Linked DNA regions of Drosophila melanogaster. The gene in region 3 interacts genetically with the main gene of each other region. Each region holds a gene or a part of one and is shown on either strand. Other genes may lie near its edges.

Region 1 (6,323 bases), on a different chromosome or scaffold from region 3:
ACCTTTGATATTGTAAGACTATAGATTTCAATCTGATTTCCAAAAAAAAAAATACATCAAATAAATATGTTTTTTTTTATAGATAAAACTTGGTTTATCCATGTAATACAGAATGAAATATAAAGAAGTGTGATTATTGCGTTTGGGATGAGTATTATAGTCTAAATGTTTAAGTCCTTTAGATTTATATTAAATACATTTTCTTAATCGGCAAATCCCTGTCTTTTAACAGAAGTTTGTCGCCGTCAGTCTCTTTGGCTAGTTGCTTCATTACTACAGTTTGCTTGGCCTGGCAAACTGGAATTTTTTGAGTTGTTTTGTTTTGCTTTGTTTGTCTAAAAGCGCAGAACTACCCCCGCACCCCTCCACCAGTTGGCCCGTTTCCCCTGCAAAAGGCTTGGCCCAGTTAGCAGTAAAAAATGCAAAGAGCAGGAGAGTGGCTTAAAACAGGACTGACTGCATATTAGGACGCCCATGCAATTCAATCGAGCTGGCTTATGCAGATGCAGTGGCTGCACTAGGAAAAAATGTGGTAAACCTTGGAAAACATTCCAATTAGAACTAGAAAACTGTGTTGAAATACTTATATTTTTGAAACGAGTGTTTTCTTGGATTTGGTTTAGTTGATTTTTAATCCCAAGTTAAGTTGCCCAACTGTGTGTACTATTTTTTCGCAGTGACCCAAACTATTTCTCTTTGTTGGCTTAATTCGTGTGGGTCGCGTGGCCAATTCGATTAGGAATGCACTCAGCTGACGTCACGAAGCCCATTTACCTACTTTTCGGGTATCAGCACATGAGCCAACTCTGATTAGAGCTGATTATTTAACTAGCGATTTCCACAGATCCACATGGAAAACAAAATGATTTCCCAACACCCCGGGGAAATTTGCTTCTATAAACACACGTTCGATTGCGAAGAGATGCCTCTTCCTGAACTTTATAAAAAGTATTTTCCCGGGGACCGGGCCCAATGTTGATTTAACCCACAAAAACTGAAACATGTGTGGATATTTCGATTTTTTCCACTCCTCAGAGCAAATTGCAGCGCAGACGGACACATGGAACAAACCGAACAAATGTGGGCGAACACGTTTTTATCGCAGCTAACGAAATGCAATAAATGTTGATTAAAATAAACACACACTGCGAAGAAAGAGATTTAAAATAATGAAGTTAAATTTAAAACGCAGTATAGTGCCACTTAAAAGAAGAAGCCCACCTCGTGAATTCTTCAGAACCAAGTTGTTGGATCAGCCCTTTGTTTATCCTAGATACTAAACATTACTGATTGAAGATCGGTTTCTTTCAGTGCACATGCGAGTGAAATACACATAAAGAAGTGGAAGCCACACCAAAATGAAGACGAACCGCGTTTGAATGCTTATCAGTGGAGAATAAAAGAAACTGCACCAAATACAAATAAATGGGGAGTCGTAAAAACCAGAAATAATTAATGAAATTTGTGCTGATGAATGCAGCTTGTGGTATCTTATCAGACACAAGGAGTGGAGGGGAGTGGAGTTCTTATCGAGTGAACAGAAACCAGAACGGAAGCCTAACAAAGCGAGCCAGTTTCGAGAGAAAGAACCTTAGCTTTAAGGACTCTGACCTTTTGTCGTTTTCTATTTCGGGACATTCCACAGCTATCGCATCTCTCTTCTCTCGGCCATTGTGTTTAATGACCTTTAAAAGCCACGCACAGACAGGTCACCGGAATATGGCAGACATGCAGGCGAGGGGCCGCCCACGTCCACGCCCACTTTAGCGCCCCTCACCGAGAGGAGAAGGCCAAACAGAAATAAAACAAAAATAAAAACAACACTTCAAACAAGACACACATCACAATTCATGATTCTCATGCCTGCTGCCATTTTTGCTGATTTTGCTTTGGGTTCGTCGCCGCTTTTCTTGGCAGCCGGTGTTGTGTGTGTGCCCCATCTTAATCATCGTTTTCATCATCATTATCATTTGAGTCCACATTATCGCCATCTTCAAGCTGTCTGCTGCAGCGCAGATACAAACACACACAGCGATTCAGATACATGCGACTCGCATAGATACAAAAGCACGCATGGTGTTGCTCTGCTCGCTTCTGCCTGCCGCCTTTTAATAAAGTAAACTAAACAATTTTCATTCTTGTCTCGTTTTTGTCTCGTCTTCGTCGCTCTGCATCGACTATGAACAATTTTTCATAAACACACACGGGTTAACAGTTGGGGCTACAATAATAGTGCCTGCGGAGCCTCGTTCTACTCAAAAGAACTGTGAATATAAGTCAATCGGCAATGAGCCTTTAATCCGAAAAATACACTTGTTTGTATATGTATATTTTCATGTATACGAACAAACAAGTAATATTATCCGTACGAAAGCCAACTAAAACTCTTCCCAAACTAATGCTGTGATCTCTTAAATTTGACTCCAGATTTTTAGTGCTAACTTAATTTATAGAACTTCACGGAACATCCCTTTTTTAAGGCCGCCTTAAAGCCTATTATTTTGGCCTCATCTGTGGGTGAAGCACACACACAACCACAGCGGCGCACATGCCGTAGCAGCGAGGCGACGACCCAAGCACCACCACCAGCCCACTCCACATTGACCCCCCCCCCACCACCCACCACATCCAGGCAGAGTCAACAAACGGACACTCACACACACACTTGTGCCAAACTGAACTTTCGGTGGGTGCGCAAAGCAAAAGAGATGGCGCCCAACGTGGGGCCGGCGGGCGTGGTGAGTTCCGTTCCGCCACCAAAAGTGCTGAGAGTGGTGAATGTTTGGTGAAAGAGAAAGGCAACAAACGCATGCGGCAGTGCGTGCGGCCACAGGGGGGTTAAAGGGGGGTGCTAAGGCGGCCGAAAGGGGGTTAAGACTCGACAAATTCATTGAGAAACGAAGCGAAACAAAAAATAGCTTGGCAAAGCGGAGAAGGTGGCACCGGCCGGTCAAAAGTTGCGCACACCACTCTCACATTCAAAACTTACAGGGTGGGTGGTGCCAAGTTGGGTGGTTTTTTGTCAGGCAATGAAATCGAAATGTCAATGTGCAGTTATCAACTCGATTATTATTGTGATTGCTTCGAGGGGGAGAACGGAAATCCAGAAAAAAAAACCTTTTTTCGTTGCCATGGCAAAGTGCAAAAAAGGAAGAACACAAAGAAAAAGAACTCGCTTTTGTTGTACTTTTAAACAATTTGCATAAATGTGCGGGGGAAACCTTCGAGGGTTTGACGACTGGAAAGGCCAATCGAGTTGGGTAAGATATTGTGGGGTATTTTTGGAACCAAGTTCTGAGTAAAGGGGCTTCTTTGCGAATTGCAGGAATATAAAATAAAAAATTCATCATAATATCAAAAAAAAAGAATTCGTATTGGTTGCATCTCGGTATATTTTACATCTTTTTGAAACTAATCGATTGTGAAACCTTTCAGATAGTGTAAATAGTTTGTGAAATCGAACTAACAAATAACGAACGGAAATTGGAGTGTAAACGACCACACCTGGGAAAATAATCACGGGGCGGTCACTTTCCCGTTAATCGGGCGAGGCTTGTTAATGAATATAGCTGATGGGGAGGGGGCAATGTGGGGGCTCTATTTTCGGGGGGCTCTGCTGCTGGTTCTATTTCTAGTCGTATTCCATTTCCATTCGAGATGGATAACCGCAGCTTATTGACTCACTTTTAGGGCCGTCAGATCGATATCGTCCAGTGAACAGTTGACCGATGGAGCCAGTTGTTGTTGCTGCTGGTGCGCCATTTTGATTTGCTATTTTATTTTGTTCTTCTGGATCTGGAGAATTGCTGCTGCTGATTCTTCGCACGCAGAAAGAGGTGGAGAGAGGAGAAATGCAAATAAGACGGTGAACGGGGGGAGGGGACAAAACAACGGGGAGAGAAATAGAGTGGAGAAGGAGCGGCCGCAGGACTTTACTGCGATTTTAGATTTATACGCACTTTACCGCGATTTAAGATTTATACGCTCTAAATGACAAATGCCACAATAAAAAACCCGTGCAATTAACAAACTATTTGTTGCTGTCATACAACTTTTCTCTTTTCGCTTCTCCGCTCTTCTTCTCGCTCTCTGTCTCTCTCCATCTCTCTTTCTCACTGCTCTGGCTCTGCGTGCGTATGTGTGTTTTGTGACGGAGTGTTTGTGTGTGTTAGTTAACGTTTGGCAAACGGGGCGCGGCTCTTTTAATTCCCCAGCACTTTATAAAATCTTTTCTCGCCCTTAAACCATTTATTTATCACTGCCGATTCATCTGCTACTTCGCACACACTGCACAATTTCAATATTTTTTTTGCGGCGCTCCGATGGACCAGCCTCACACACACACCCACACCAGTGCAGTAGCCTGCGTATGTGTTTGTGTAGGTAGACAGAAAAAATCTGCCACTCGCTTTTTCCTCCCGATTGCGTTTTGCGTTCTCGCGCAGGACTCGCGATTTTCACTGGCGCACCGCGAATACGTACTCTTCACGCACAGCGATGGGCGCCTATCGCCTTTGCATCGCACAACCAGCTGAACAGTTCAATTTCCCAACTTCAGTGAAAATCAGAACGGTTTTCCGTTTTACGCGACGCCAAAACCCCGACGGATTCCAACAGTGTGACCAATTAGCCGATGGCAGCTTATTCCATCGCGAACTGAAAAATACCCCGCGATTACCGTTCTCATTTCTGCGCACATACCGCAAACATATCGAGCCGTAAAAGGCCAATTCGTGTGCCCGTATATTCTTCTCTTTCAGAATAGCAAATTAACAAATTTGCAACTGTAATCAATAAATTAGATTATAGACATTTACTAATTCCAATTAGAAAAAAGAGGCTGGGAAAATAAAAAATATTAACATATTTAATATTTTATTTCATAGGGTAACACAAATCGTTGAGTCATTTCCTATTAAAGTTATATAATAATCAGAATTGGAATATAAGAATAAGATATGTATGGTCGAAGATTAGATGTGTTAAATAAAGACGTCTAAAAATGTACGCCAGTGGAACGCATAGCATAGTCCAAAATATCTTTCGGCTTCGGAATATTTCCACTGGTTTCTTTTCACTCTCTATTTTATTTCTGATTGGGTCGCCTTTTTCACTTCTCATCCAATTGGCAAGTGCTCGACACAACTTTCCAGCTCAACTCGAATTATTCATACATCTAATTGAATTATTATATACATATATAAAATCGATTAACTTATATTAAAATTATCCAGTTTAGAAACGTTTCGATTAGGTAAAGCAGATTTCAGCGAAATTGACCTTGCGAAGATTGAAATCAAACCAAATTTTCTGGGCAAGTGAGCTACTGATTAGTAAAACTTCCGAAAACTGAATTTGAAGATTTAATATGATAAATTTTATTATTTTATTTATTATTATTAGCAAATTAACAATTTCGCGAATACCCAAAATAGCAGTGAGAAACAGCTCTTTCCCCAGCAGCACGTTAGTCACGACGCCAGACGCCAAACACAGCCACACTATTCCCTGCCCACCTCTAGGATGTCTTCCTCTTTTCTTTTCTTTTCGCCCCGTTTCCGGAGTGGTCGTATTGGGCAATTTTAATTTTACGGTAAGCCACGTGCTAAATTTTGTAAATTTGGTGGTGTTTTCAATTGCGGAAATTGTTTACAGTGCGCAATTTAACATTATAACCGTGTAACATGGAATATTTCAATTTTCCGTCAAAATATTCGAATAAGATCGAAATTCCGTAGCGTGTTGCATTGAAGATGGCCATCTTATTTAGTGAAACCGCCGCATTTGCAATATGGAGTTCGAGTACTAATCCCGTGAATTTGTCTTGCAGCAATGGGTCGCGTTATTCGTGCACAGCGTAAGGGAGCTGGTTCCGTGTTCAAGGCGCACGTGAAGAAGCGCAAGGGAGCCGCCAAGCTGCGTTCCCTGGACTTCGCCGAGCGTTCCGGCTACATCCGCGGAGTTGTCAAGGTGAGTAACGTGCTCCTAGGATCACCAACTACACCTATCCGTTTAATGTGGATGAGATCACTTGCATTTGGCCATGCCACATTCAAGAGACGTGCTTGAGCACCTGTGCCAGCTTACTAGAAGTTACTTAGCTCACTTGGCTTAACTGCTTTTGAAGTGTAACTAAGCGAATCGTACTTCTTCCATGTTTCAGGACATCATCCACGATCCCGGCCGTGGCGCTCCTCTGGCCGTCGTCCACTTCCGCGACCCCTACCGCTACAAGATCCGCAAGGAGCTGTTCATCGCCCCCGAGGGCATGCACACCGGCCAGTTCGTGTACTGCGGCCGCAAGGCCACCCTTCAGATCGGCA
Region 2 (6,360 bases), on a different chromosome or scaffold from region 3:
ATAAAACTAATAAATTAGATTATTTTTCTCTGTGTAATATATACGCAATACGCACAGCCGTATCAGCCAACACACAGAGGTCAGTGCCAGACCAACCCGCCCACACACACAAATCTGTGGTCGGAGTAGGGCGTTCGTCGCGTTGATGAGCAGGATGATGCCATGATGCGATGATGATGTGGATGCAACCGAACTGCCGGGCATGCAACACAGATGCATTACACAAACGCCAGACTGACCACACCACAACATTATTGTTTAAATTGCAAAGTGATACATTTGTGCCGGCGGACCGAGAGTTTGCCATTGGTTTTAGCAGTTTGCATACGGAATGCAGATGGCTCCCAGGATGATTGGGTTAGTTAAAGCCCAATTGTGTTTGCTGTTCGTTTGAAGCGTTTCATTGGGCTTAAGTTTAAGCAGATATTCGGATGCAATAACTGAGAGGAAGCTGTTTAACAGCTATGCATTTCCATAGCAAACTAAATCAACAAGCTGCCAGTTGTGGAAAGTTTAACCGAGCTTTGAATAGTATGATTAAAGGTTTAGTTGATTAATTGCAATTCATGAGCTCATTTGGTGTTAGTATGTTTATAATTATGCAAAATTAGGTACGATTTTAAACTGTAAAACAGCTCAGGGAATTATAACCATATTACATTGGCATAATTGCCATTGTACGGATTGTGAAAAGCTTTAAACAGATTATAGAAACCCAATTAAAATAATTGCATTAATCTTTGTCCAAAATCTTATTTTCTACAGACAGTAAATTTGAAATGATTCTTTGCTAAAGGCTATTTAGACTGTTTTCTTTTGGCAGCTTACTTATGAAAATCACTTTCATTTATATAATTAAACTAGTTCATGCAATAGTTAACATTCTGATAGTATGCTAAACATCAAATTAAGATTTTAATTGCAACGAATAAACTGAAATTCACGCATGACTAATTGAGTTGGGCATTTTTAATTGGATAATTGGGAAATACTAGCGACTAATGCTTCCTAGGCAAATCCCGCGAGGAAAGACAAAGTGTATCAAGTGTTGACTGACATTCCTAAGCCAATGTCAAGCTGGCTGTTGGAAAGTTGAAAGTGGAAATGGTGCACACATAAATGAAATCAAAATCAATGTCAACAACAGTGAAATGTCGAGTGTCCCGCGGGGACGCAAAGGATGTCAGCCAGGATGGCAGGATGACTGGCTGGCAGGATGCCGTCAGTGGGCGGTGGATGTGGCGTCAAAGGCGCCGTCGCCTTTGAAGTGCTCCCATTACTACTAAACTGGCGTTACTACGGCGTAGTAAATAGAAGCTAAAGCAAATAGCGCTTACGTAAAGGGACCAAAAAAAAGGGGGAATCCCCCACACGGCATGACAGCAGCGCGCAAAAACGTCAGTTAGCTGCAAAAAAGAACAAGGTTTAAAGAAGAACTGGGTGGCCGGTGGGTAGTGTGGAAGTGGTGGCATGGGTGGCATGGATGGCATGGGTGGCATGGGCGGCAAATCAACGCTGGCAAAAAACACTTTGTGCGCGCGTCAAAGTGTTAAAGAAAGTAAGCATCCAACCAGCCGCCCACACACCACCCACACACGACAGAGAGCTGGCCGGGAATGATGGAAGATGGGGTTTTTTTTCCGGAGCTTTGTGTACATATTTGATGCGCTTTTTTTCCTCCCACCCGGCTCGACAAATTTAAGTTTTCGGGCTTCCTTTTCGGTGCGGCGGCACTTGCTTTGTGGATGCCCCCATGCATGCTGGAGTACTCGCAATTCCGGACTCCGAAAAAACTTCGGATTGCAACTGAAGGAGAGAGCCGGAAAAAAAAAATAAAAAAACGAAGAATCCGAAGGCTTATCTTTCAGCCAAACACTCGAGCGTTTTTGGGGCTTAACGATGTTTGGACGGCCTTTGTCCATTTGCTATTTCCATATTGACTTGTCCCGTGCAGGTCCCTTCTACTTCAGTCCTTTGAGCCCCTTTTTTGAAGCTGCACTGAGAAAAACTTTCAAGGAGTCATGCAATATTAATCTATAGAAGAACTGTTTCAGCCCACGAAATTTGTAAGTTCCTCTTACAGACTTCATATCTTAACTTTACATATGATTCCCAACAGAACAGTTCATATAGAGTGGATCTATCGATTTACCATTAGATTTTAAATAATGTACAAGTTATACAAGATTTAATTGATGAGAACTGAACATTTTTCTGAGTGTATAATTTTTGAGCCTGGGTCAATGCTTTGTGCATTTTGAAATATGCCGGCAATTACCGGGCAACTTTGCCATATTACAACTGCTGAATTATTAGTGAGCTGCTTTTTTCAGCTCATTAGCGTCGCATCTAGTGGAAAAGTGTTTGGTGGGGCCGCAGAGTTGTAGTAGTCGTAGGAGTAGAAGTAGATGAAGAAGGGGGTACTAAATTATGCGCAGTGCAATCAAGTTGAGTGCGTACTACAGTCTAAATAAGTAGTAGTTGTTTATTCATAAAAGCATTGCGCCGAGAAATTGTCAGCCTTTGGGCTTTGACAACACGAAAAAGAGCTTAAAGGAAAACGCAAAGCGGCAAAGGAAGGGGCTAAAAGGCTGGGCGAGGGGCGGGGAGCGGGAAGCTCAAAAGTGCAGTTGAAACCACATAAACAAACGCATACAGTGGGCACTCGAACAGGCAACATGCCTGAAATGCAGTTCAGTTACTCATATTTTATCTATGGGATTTTAAGCTTTTAAATTCAGTGAATCATTGAAATAAGGAACTATACTATTAAGTAAATATTCTATCTGAATAGTAATTTTTGATGTACATATTGAAATTTTGCTAAATTAACTATTTAAAATGAATATTGACCAATAAATATAAATATCAAATATTGATTTGAGACTAAACACTCTCAATTTATAATTCAATCACTTGGGAATCACGCAACTACGTTGGTTCACATTAGCGAGCGATACCTGTAGTACAAAAGCCTTTGAGGAAAGTAGAGGAACGATATCAGCGAACCCCCATTCCCATTACAAACTGTCTATCCCTGCGGTTTTTTGAACTCAAAGCCCTCGCCACTCGTCAAATTAATCGAACTGCCATCAAATGCTTGTCAGTTCCCAGCTCCTTTGGCAAAACCGTTGCCCTTTGTTCGAAATGAAAGCACAGAACTTACCATTTTTGTACTGCCAACTGTTTGAGATGCCAAAGCAAATCAGTAGAAAGCCGATCAGCATTTGTCGCCAGCCCACTCCGCTGTTAGATTTCGTGCATTTCGTCGCTTTCGTTGTCACATCTTCATTATTATCTATAACTTGGCACAATTGAGGTTCGATTTCAGCAGACTTTGTGTATGGCTCGAGAGCCATCTTATTTTGGAAGCACTATCTCCGGAATTTTAAGACATTTGGCGCAAAAACAACAGATGACGCGACCCGATCGTGTTTGTCTTTTGTTAGGCGCACATGGTAATCACACGGAAAAACTGCAAGTGGAAGGGAGAGGGAGGTTTGAAAACAGGTCGCTCTCGAAAATCTTTCACTCCCTAGGGTATCAAATAACACCCTTGTTTTGAACTCTCGTTTGTAGTTACAACAGTATTTGCAGAGTTATGCCTGTTAGTAAATAGGTTTTAGGATTTTTGTTTTACTTTCTACGTATCTTTTTTAATAGATTAATATTGGTTCAACTGTTATGACTACAATACAATTCAAATTTATTTCAGTTTTGATCACTAGTGAGTTAATAACTTTTAGTTCCTCGTGCTCGCACTTTTGTTGCGTAGTGTAAGCTAGCTGTTGCTTATGTTGTTGTTATTTCAGTCTTTCAATTGAGTTTCCCGCTTCTTTGTTGACGAGTGTGATCGTCTTGTTTGCATGTGTGCGAGCCACCAATTGTTGTTGTCGTTAAGTAGCGAGTGATAAGCAATTGTGCAACTGTGTGAGGGCCACCACACCGCCATCACCCCCTCCGATCAACTGGTCGCCAAATTGAAATACTGTAAGTGATAAGGTGACTCTGGGTAATTAGGGAACCTCTTTTGCCGCCGCTTCTACGGCGCAACAAGCCGGCAATCGACGAATTGCGGTGCGTGCGCGTGTGTGTGCAACCCCCAGAAAGGCGCAGCGCTGCACTTTCCAGTGGAAAATTTCACGACGCAACCAAAACAAACGCCGTTTGCCGCTGGAAAATGCAGCAGCAACAGAGAGCAAGTGAGAAGAAAACACACAAACACACGCGCACACATGCACAGACGCACACACACACTGGGGGAAAACAGAACGTCTTTCAAGCAGGCCGTAAATTTAGATGCCCGAAAATCTCTTGTTTTGTTTTTAGAACCATTTGATACACATTCCAACAACAACATCAGCAACATCTCGCATGCTGCACAACAAACACGAAAAGCACGACAAATTCCACAGTATCTATGGTTTATGCCCGTTGAAAGTGTATTAATCGTCGCCGTTTCATCGCTATTTGTTGTTAAACCAACGCAATTCGACCGAGCGCAGCCATTTTGTGGTTACTTTGTTTTGTAAATATTTGATTTACTTTTCACTGAGTTTTCCGTCCGCCGTGTTGCCGTGTTTTTCGTCTCGCTCTTTCGAACAGTGTGACCGCACTGAGGCGACGTACGCAGCCGTCAGTATGGCTGCACCTAATTTGCCTAAATATTACCAATTGAGTGTTCTAAATATACCAAAAATATACTGGAAGTAGAGTAGACGTTTGGTTGCACACCTTGCTAAAAAAATTTAGAACACCATTTTGTTTGAATTATTTTCGAATAGAATTACATAATTTTACCAAATGGCGAAAAATGCACATTGCAAATATATTCAAATGCAATTTTTACAAAACCCTTTTTCAGTGGTTATAAGAAACACATAATAATACATACATACACATACAATACATATACTGAATATTATATTCTTGTATAGTTATAATTAATTATAATAGTTTTCAATTTTCAGAAATTACAATATTTGTTTGATATATGTTCTATTCTTTTATAGCAAAACTTAATTAATTTTTGCAAAATGTTATTAAATGTTATTTCAGTTGTTAAACTTGTGGAAAACTTTAAGTTTACTACTTGCACATCTAAACTGTATTTTTTGTAACGCCAACATTAATATAAAATTTCTTAAATTACATCTAGAGCAGAGCATTTACAAATGCTAGGTATGATTATCCATGAACTGCAGTTCCGACCACAGGAGCAGGGCGTTCGGGGGCAAAGGTCGCGGCTGCGGCGAAAGCAACATCACTGCCTGTCTTTCCATATCCACTTCGGTTCTGAGGATAATCAAATAACAATCATATATAACTAGTATAATATCTAGTTTAGGTTCAGCAGCACTTACACGCAACAAAAGCCGGCCACATTGGTGCCAATCACATCGTCCTCCACGGACTCGGCAAAGCTGAGGGCCAGCACATGATGGATTAGGGCGGGCGTGGGTGTAACCGCCACCACCTTGGTCTTGTTGTCCTCCGCCTTCATTCCAATTGGCATGCAGGAGTCGGGCAGCGGCGGTGCGCCGATCTTGTAGAGTCGCAGGTCCTGGAACTTCACCTCGAAGCTGAACGGATAGAAGGGCGCCCTTGTATTGCCGTAGAAGTACTCCTTGATGCGCTGATCCCTCGCCTCGTGTCGCAGTTCCTTGCTGCGCTCGACGACGCCGCCGCTCTTGGGCAGCAGTACCACATGAACTCCCTTGGGAACATCTCGAAGCAGCTCGTTGTATAGTCGCTCCTGGTCCAGAACAAAGATGGCACAGGCTCCATAGGCTTTGGCCGCGTGCAACAGGTGCGCGTAGCCGGATCCCTTTACCCAGCCACAAGTGTTTATAATAATGCCAGAGCTTTTTGCTGCAAAAAGCAGATGCAGAAATTTGCAGTTTATGAACGGGAAAATGTATTGAAAAGTGCAAAGATATGTGTTACACCTTCCCAACTTACTTCGCTTGTTGCTATTCAGAGATTGCAGTGTTACCTCTGCCATTTTGGAAACCACGGCATTGTACAGCACGCTGTTTCCGCTGGGAGACTTATGGCCAAAGTGATAGACCAGCGGCGCTGTCTTGGCGAATCCCTCCTCAACGTTCGCCGGTCGCTCGATGAGAATGGTGGCCACACTCCCGGAAATGGCAATCGAGCCCTGTCCAACATCCAGGTCGGCGTACAGCGGTCGACGACCCACGCGCACAGCATAGTTAAGCAGGATGCGGCACAGAGTGCTCTTGCCCACGTCCATGGGACCGACGACCATGGCCACTGGTCCGTAGCGATCCTTCTCCTCGGCCTCCATGCGGAACTGCTCCAGTGCCGCATGACAGTTGACGTACTGCACCATTGGCG
Region 3 (8,214 bases):
GTCAATTAATGTTGATCAAATGCCATTTTAACCTACAATACTTCGAAACAGAAACGAATTATATATTTACAAGCTATACAAGCCACTATACAAGCCGGTATATGCACAACCACACACCCGCAGGCACAATAACTTATTATTGCTGTTAACGAGAAAGGATATTTCCGAAATAAATCAATTTTCTTACGTGTTTAAATGCTAACTTTTATTAACTGCGAACCATTAGGTTAGCAGCATATGGGAATTCTAATCTACACATAACATCATATAATGATGTCATTATATATAGAAGGTTTTTCTACGAAAACGAAAGGGATGGAGTTACGTTTTCCGGAACAACCTTGGCTTATCATAATTCTTAGTAGTCTATTTTTAGCTCATGAGAAGTTGATATTGTTTAGTAGGGCAACTGTGCTGATTCATTTCGTATTAGTTGTATGTACGGAAGTTGACTGATCTACAGTTGCCTTACTAAATAGTTATCTTACTCATCTTGGATTTAAATGTACATCCGTTCTATCCTACATTCTATATTCTAGTTTTAACAGCTATTAGTGAAATTCAGTTCTTTTATGTACAGAAGTTGACTGATCTACAGTTGCCTATCTTGTTATCTGCTTTACTCGCATTGGATTTAAATTTACATCCGTTCTATCCTATATTCTATATTCTAGTCTTCAAACGTCGGTTTCGGACAATACTATCAAGAATATTGTCATAATATATCAAATAAAGACAATTAACATTTAGAACGTAAATTTCCCACGTGCTAATTAAGGATCACATACACATCCCTCTGCTTAAACATAAGTTGATTAGTTCTATGCTATCTTCTCAATTACAAGTTCTTAGTCTAAAATGAAGAACTGACCAATGCAATGGGAGTTAACATCCTTAACAGCTAGTTATGCATATATGGTAATTGAAGTTCAAACTTCTCTGAGTTGCAACTTGTTGGTTCACAAAGTTTTTTAGAATTCCAAAGACTGCTGCAATTTAAGCTACAAGCTAGTCACATGAATATGGTAATTAAGTCATAATATGCCTATGTTTTGATGTTTAAACTTCCTCTCTAGATGCTGACTAATAAGTCATAATAAGCTTATGTTTTGATGTTCAAACTTCAAACTCTCTAAATGCTAACTATAAGTATGGTAATTTAAATCTTAAGTAAATTGAAGTTCAAACTCTCTCTAAATCCTTACATTAATGCGATTTGCAGCAGAGCTCCACAGCCCATCCTGTCGATGGTTGTAAAACGACTGATGCTTATAGACTAGTCCGCATGGCGATAGAGTACGATCTGCAGCCGATTGCCTGGACCGGATCAGCATCAGAATTTCGGCGGGTGCTATGAGCTCTCGGCATTCTTCTTCTTCAGCGTCTCCATGACGCCGGCGAAGTTGGCCGTCTTCTTTTTGGCCGACTTGGGCGTGGACGTCTGGCTGCGGACGCGCATCTGGGTGGGGGCCACATCGTCGCTGAAATCAAAGTCGTTGGCCTTCTGCGGTCTGCGGGGACACGAAAATCAATCATAAGTTATGTTAACCTTCGGATGGTGCTGCACTTGTTCTTACTCCTGCTCAATGGCGTCGGTGGCCTGTTCGAGTTCCTTGCTATTGCCGCCAGATCCCGCCTCCGGCGATGGAGCCCTGCGTCCCGGAAATTGCCATTGCAGTTCCGGAATATTTCCCGCCTCCAGCATCAGATAGTAGCCCTCTAGCTCCTCCGCGTTGGCGGAGAACTTGTCCGCCGTATTCGCCGCCGGCTCCACATCCGTTGCCATCGTTTTCTCGGATTTAAACAATCCAAATGAACTGGAAATTTGCGTTTCTTTCCACAATAGAACCTATTGGTTTCGCGACCTTTCTGGAATGAAAGCGATAGTTTGCTTTGGCGTGCTTATCGAACAGTTATCGAACGTTCGTTGCTATCGATTTTCGGGCTTAGTGTTGCAAAGTGTCCGAGCTGGGCGGTTGATTTGAACACATTTGCTGCTCGAAATGGATTTTCTATTTATAGGTTTCATTATTCTCTTCTTTATTAAGTGCACACCCATGCCCGGAATGTTTCCGCTCCGAGTGCACACAACTTCGAGGATTGTTCTCGATGGCGCATTGTTTGGTTTAGGGGGAAGAACAATATTATCTTGTTGAGACTTTTACTTTTTAGGATGGAAAGTATGTGTTTAAATATTGTTAATCTGTACAAAGAAATAAGAACTAACAAAAATTAGACTTCCTTTTTAATGTATATTCCTCAAATTACGAACAAACGCTAATATGTTTTAGGAATATTTTAAAAGTCTTCTTGGCAATTTGATTTGCACTTGAAAACAGCTAAAATGCGTTAAAGAAACCAATCTCATGCATATGGAAAAGCCATCGATTATTCATTTTATTTGTATTTATTTACTTTGTGATTACTAAATTCTTAGAACTTTATTCAAAATCATTCTCGCCCGTCATGCTGCCGTTCCTGCTCCTCCGCTCCGCTCCGCATCATCCATATATATATATATATATATATATATATATATATCATATATCATATATCTCAGTTGATCTGATCTGATCGGGTCCACAACCGATTGCTGCCGGACACGGATATCCCTGTGCTGATCCTCCTGCTGCCTCACGAGCCCTCGCTGATCCTTGACTCGTTGCGGCTGGGTGTTTAGCGTTCTTTTCTATGACTTACACATACCATACATATACATAAGTATTATTATTATTATTATAATTATTATTATTATTATTATTATAATTATAATTATTATATTGTGGTTTGCTGTTTGCTTGCTTTGTATACTCGTATATAAAAAAGAATAATCGTACATATTTAATTTAATTAATTAAAAACACAATTTGATTGCAAAAAGAAAGGTTTCTACAATACGTAATTAAATACGGATACGTCCTGATCGTTGGTATTGTTGCCGCCACCGCCACCGCCTCCGCCGCCGCCCCGATTGGAGGAGCCGGATGATTTGTTAGAGCCATGAGCGGCGATGGTCAGCTGGTTGGCCTGATGGATCACCGAGGTGATGTCGCTCTGCGACGCCGAGATATCCTTGCTGGTCAGCACATCGCTGCTACTCGATCCCGACGAGATGTGTCGCTCGGCGATGCCGTACTGGATCGGCTGATAGCCGTGACTTGGATTGTACGTGGCCGAATATGGCATATAAATGGGCGGGTTCGGTAGCGGCCCGATGTCGCTGGTGATGCTCTCGGTGTCCGCATGGCTAAGCGCATGGCCGCCATGCCCGTGCGGCAGCTGGTGCGGATGCAGATGTCCTCGGCCCAACAGATTGGGATTGCGCTCCTCGTTCACCACGTAGTAGCACTGCTCCGAGAAGGTCAACTTATTGACCGTATGCTTGATGTAATTGCTGCGCAGCATCGCCGAGACGATCCTTCGCGCCTCCCGCCTATCCTGAACATCCTCCACATTCTCCAGCACCCAATTGACCGCATCGGCGCCGATAAATGCATTGGGAATCGTTATCTTTAGCCACATGCGATCCCTGATCTCCAGGCCGCTGTCCGGCTTCGTCATCGCCTTAACGATCTCCTCGAGGTTATTCTGGTCCAGACGCTCCTTAATCGGCTCCGCAATGTCGGCAATAATACTGTCGTGCGATGTGAGGGCCTGAGTGTGCGCCACCCAAGCACCGGGATCGATGGGTCGCACCGGCTCCGTGCGCGGAATGGTGAAGTAGCCCTTGGGATTTGGGTCCCAGCACTTGGCCACCACCAGCTTGATGGGTCCCGGCTTCTGAACGACTTCTCTCAGCACACGTACCGCCTCGTCGTTGGTCATGTTCTCGAAGTTGACATCGTTCACTTGGAGGATCATGTCGCCCGGTTCGATGCGTCCATCGAGTGCCACTGCGCCGCCTTTCATGATGCTGCCCACGTAGATGCCGCCGTCGCCGCCGCGATTCGATTGCCCGACAATGGATATGCCCAGAAAGTTGACCGCCTCCATGTTGATGGAGACGGTAATGATATTTAGGGACATGGTCGAGTCGGTTATGGAGCTGTACGAGGAGGTGCGCGACATGCTGGGCGCCCGTTTTTTGCGCCTCTGCGGCTTCTTGCGCACCTGCAATCGCTGAACGCTGCTATAGTCGGTCATGTCGCGGTCCAGCGTCAATTCGGATTCGGTGCCAAAGAGACTGGTCGAGTCCAGATCGCTGGAGAGCACGGATGCCGATTGATATGTGAGCGGTGGCGGCTGCAGCAGCGGATTGCCCATCATCTTCTGGTGATGGAGCACCTGCTGCTGTTGCTGCTGCGCCAGCTGGACAGGCTGCACCTGCTGCTGCTGTTGTTGTTGCTGTTGCTGGTGCTGCTGCTGCTGTTGTTGTTGCTGCTGCTGATGCTGCTGCTGTTGCTGCTGTAGCTTCCTGTTGGTCAGACCCATGCCCAATTCACACTCACTGGTTGGCAGCTCGGAGCAGTTATCTGACTGATTGGTACCATCGGCGGAGACCAGCCAGGACACCACTCGCCCATTGAAGCAGGGCAGTATGGTGGAGTCGTCGGCTATTTCCTCTTTGACCACACCGAAATCGGCGTCCATTGACTTGAAGAAGTACTTGTAGTTGTTGTTCTGCTTGTTCAGCACCAGCTTGAAATCGCGCAGCGTCACCTGGGCGGATGGAATGGGGATCTTCACCAGATACGGCGTCGTCTCATCGTCGATGTGGTATATCACCTTCGTCTCCTGCCCGCCGCCCCTGTCCGCGTCCATTTTAGCTGCGCCGACTGCGGAAATCCACGGGAAAACTCCTCGACGCGATAAAACGCGATCAAAACGAAATGCGATGGATGCGGTGGGGAGGTGGCGTGGGAAGTTGGTGGGGAAAAATCACAGGGAAAACGGGATTAAGCCAGGGAAAAGCCGATACAACAAACAAAATTCACTCGATTTTGCTTTTCTCCCCCTGGTCGCTCTAGCCCTCTCGCTCTCGCACGCGTTTCTTTTACTTTTTCTTTCTCTTTTTTTTGGGCTGGGTATTTCGATTCAATGGAAGCGGCGGCTGTTAATTCGTCGATTTGCACGGCGTTGATATTGCTCCATTAGCACGATTTGGTGCGCTTTAATGTCGGTGCACGCAGCGGGGGCAGGGCGAAACGAGCATATTGCTAGTTTATCAATAAATTTGTTAGAATTTTGAGACTAAAAAAAAACAGTGTGTTAGCCGCTCGTCACGCACGGAATGCCAAAGCGCCGGGCAGTTGGTCACACTGCCGGCGATGCCAGACCCTTTCGAATTCGAACATTCTTAACATTTTCTCAAACGAATATTCTGAAAAAGCGTATGGAAAACTACTAAAAACTGCAATGTATTTAGTTTCTATTGGAAATGCTCTCTCTAACGATATTTGCTTTACAATTTGAATGTAGTTCAAACACTTTTAAAATTAAATACCAAAGTTATCGATAAATATCGTTTAATTTGAATACTTATTCAAAACAATAAATTTATTATAATTTAACAAAATAGCAATTTCTATTACATAAAACATGTAGAATCTAAAACTACAGCTATATTGAACTCTTAATTGTATTAATTTACCATATAATGATGTAGCATAGTTGAAGAGTGTCCTGTTTAAAAGTAGAGTCTTTATCCTTGTCATGGAAACTTGACCAAGGAAACTCATCCATCCATCCACTTGAAGCCTGCGTTCCTTATCTTCTTTCGCTTTTCACACGAAAATCTCTAGCGTTGGCCGCAGTTTATTTATAGCTGCCCGATTTCCAGATAACCCCGCCCGCCATTTATCACGCAATGGCGCTCGTTATTTAAATCAGTTTTCTCTTTTATTTGTATGCTTTGAATTGGGATCACTTAGATATACACTCGACTAACTTACTGGCTAGTCCTCCACGCGGGCGTAGGCACATGTACGCCCGGTTTTATATTATTGAATCGACTACGATAATAGCAATTTAAAAAAAAAGGATTTCGAAGGGGGCGGGACTCGCGGGGAAGGCGGAGGGGGGCTATGTATTCCAACGCATTTAAAATAAAAATCATTATTGATATACCTCGACCGCCCGGAACTTCGCAATCCCTTCGAGAGTTGGGCGAGCATTTTACAATTAATTGTTTTCTTTAGTTTAGTTTATATTACATAGATACATCTGCCGTTTGTATTTATGTATGTCCGTCCGCTGTTTATAATATACGAGATATATATATATAAAAATTTATATAAATATATATATATATATATTCATATATATAAATATATAATTATATATACGTGTATATATATTAATATATATTTATATACATACATATATATATATACATATAAATATATATAAATTTACGCTACACTAGCTATTACAACTAAGTTAATGGTTTTACAAAAAAAAACTTGTATCTGTTTTATTACAACTACAGCATAAAACGAATTATCGAGTGTCCGCTTTGTTTGTTTGTGTATGTGTATGGGGGAGGGGGATGGGGATGGGGAGGGGAGTGCTGTGTGTGAATTATTTTTTACAATGTGATACGTGCTCTTCCTGTGGCCACCATGGACCAGGCCTCCACGCTCACTTAGCGTTGACCAGCTCGACAATGTTGCTGCTGATCGAGAGGCGATCGACGATATCCAGCAGGATCTCCACATCCTTGATGGTGGCAACCGTCTCGGGGGCACCCAACAGATTCACATGCTTGCCATCGATGTTCGCATAGAAGCATTTGTTCTTGAAGATGACGGCCCGATCGTAGGGCACGCGGCACGTGTTCTTGTCAACGACAACGCGCCGGAAGAGCACGCACGACGGCTGATACTTGTGACGGTCCTCCTCGGGTATGTTGTACGCCTTGAGATCGCCCGTAAAGATGGTCATTGTCTGGCGGGGCATCATCGACGGCGAGACCTTGTACAGCGTCACCTTGCTGGTCCATTTGCCCGATGGCACCTTTATCCGTGACGCCACATTGGCCAGCTTGACCAGCGCCAGCTCCAGGCAGGTGCGCTGCTGGCGCGCCATCTTCGACAACATATCCTTGGCCGTGCTAACCACATGCCACGTCTCATAGCAGGTGATCTTCTTTACCACACGACCATCCTCCTCGTGAAACGTTGTGGTCTCGGGCGGAAAATATTTGGGACTGTTGGCATCGTCGATGCCACCGCCGGTGGGCAATATTTCGCGCAGCGTTGTCAGCTCCTTGTCGCGCTGCTGCTCCTGCTGGTTCTCCTTGCTGCGACGCTGCGGAACCAGGCTCGGCTTCTTGAACACCGGCTGGACATCGTTATCGGCCAGCAGATTGCTCAGCCTCCGGTCCGCAATCAGCGCATTCACCGACGACGCTGTCGTGGACAGCACATTGCGCCGATTGTTGTTCAACTTGTTAACCGCTACCGCTGCTGGAGCGGACGTCATCGCCGCCGACGCCGCCACCGACGTCGTTGTCGTCACCTGCTTGGACTTGGCATTGGCATTGACATTGGCATTCTTACGGGTAACAATAGATACCGGTATATTATCGATATCAAAATCGAGATCTGGATCCGGATCGTCCTCTTCGGTGTCGACGTCCGTGGGACAGAGCTCCTTGCCCATGCTCATCAGCGGTTTCATCGACTGCGTCTTCTTGCCCATTTCCGCGTTGAGTATCCTGGGCCGGGGCTTCGGCAGTTGACTCTGGATATGCACTGGTCCCATTTTGGTATTGACACTACTGTTGCTGGCCAAGATCTTGATGCGCTTGGCTGGATTCCCCGCCGTCGTATTGTTGTGGTTAACAGCAGCGGACAGGGATTTCTGCGTGCTGTTAACAGTGATGGATTTCTTATCGCCGGCAACCGAATTGCCGGTTCCGATATTCTTGGTACGGGGCCTGCCCAAAGCGACCTTTTTGATTGAATTACCGCCAGCTGCGGAAGCGGCCATAGCAGTGTGTGATCTGGAAATGAGCACATCGTCCTGATTGATAATGTCATCGATGTTTACAATGGTGAATGTGGGCATATCCTCCGATTCGGAATCGTTTTTCCCATCATTGCTAGCGTCACCCTTGCCGCCGCCACCACCACCGCCAGTTGAGCGCGTTGCGGGCGTGGATCTAATCGAATTCGAATTGGAGTTCGACAATGAGTTTATCTTGTTACTGCTGCCGCGTCGCTGTGGCAGCATCCTGGCTGACGCACTGCCCGCCTGGCCCACCTTCGGTCG

Evidence for each region. A genetic interaction does not mean that the proteins touch.
Region 1: of dsh (region 3) and msn, changing one suppresses a phenotype caused by changing the other (phenotypic suppression), as found in Drosophila melanogaster (one study listed by BioGRID).
Region 2: of dsh (region 3) and arr, changing one suppresses a phenotype caused by changing the other (phenotypic suppression), as found in Drosophila melanogaster (2 studies listed by BioGRID).

What each region holds. Positions count from the first base shown.
Region 1 is NT_037436.4:2,581,921-2,588,243, forward strand, and holds the start of msn (misshapen), read right to left. Parts: upstream 4,621-6,323; 5' UTR 4,483-4,620; exon of another isoform or gene 4,346-4,482; intron 4,335-4,345; exon of another isoform or gene 4,117-4,334; intron 3,819-4,116; 5' UTR 3,763-3,818; coding exon 3,685-3,762; intron 1-3,684. Other genes in the region: RpL8 (ribosomal protein L8), read left to right, coding at 5,833-5,970, 6,164-6,323.
Region 2 is NT_033778.4:13,478,610-13,484,969, forward strand, and holds the start of arr (arrow), read right to left. Parts: upstream 4,621-6,360; 5' UTR 4,546-4,620; intron 3,476-4,545; 5' UTR 3,360-3,475; coding exon 3,167-3,359; intron 1-3,166. Other genes in the region: cbc (crowded by cid), read right to left, coding at 5,178-5,295, 5,364-5,871, 5,962-6,360.
Region 3 is NC_004354.4:11,352,901-11,361,114, reverse strand, and holds dsh (dishevelled), read right to left. Parts: upstream 5,235-8,214; 5' UTR 4,762-5,234; coding exon 2,890-4,761; 3' UTR 2,391-2,889; downstream 1-2,390. Other genes in the region: Pa1 (PTIP associated 1), read right to left, coding at 1,352-1,511, 1,578-1,786; CG1737 (uncharacterized protein), read right to left, coding at 6,580-8,214.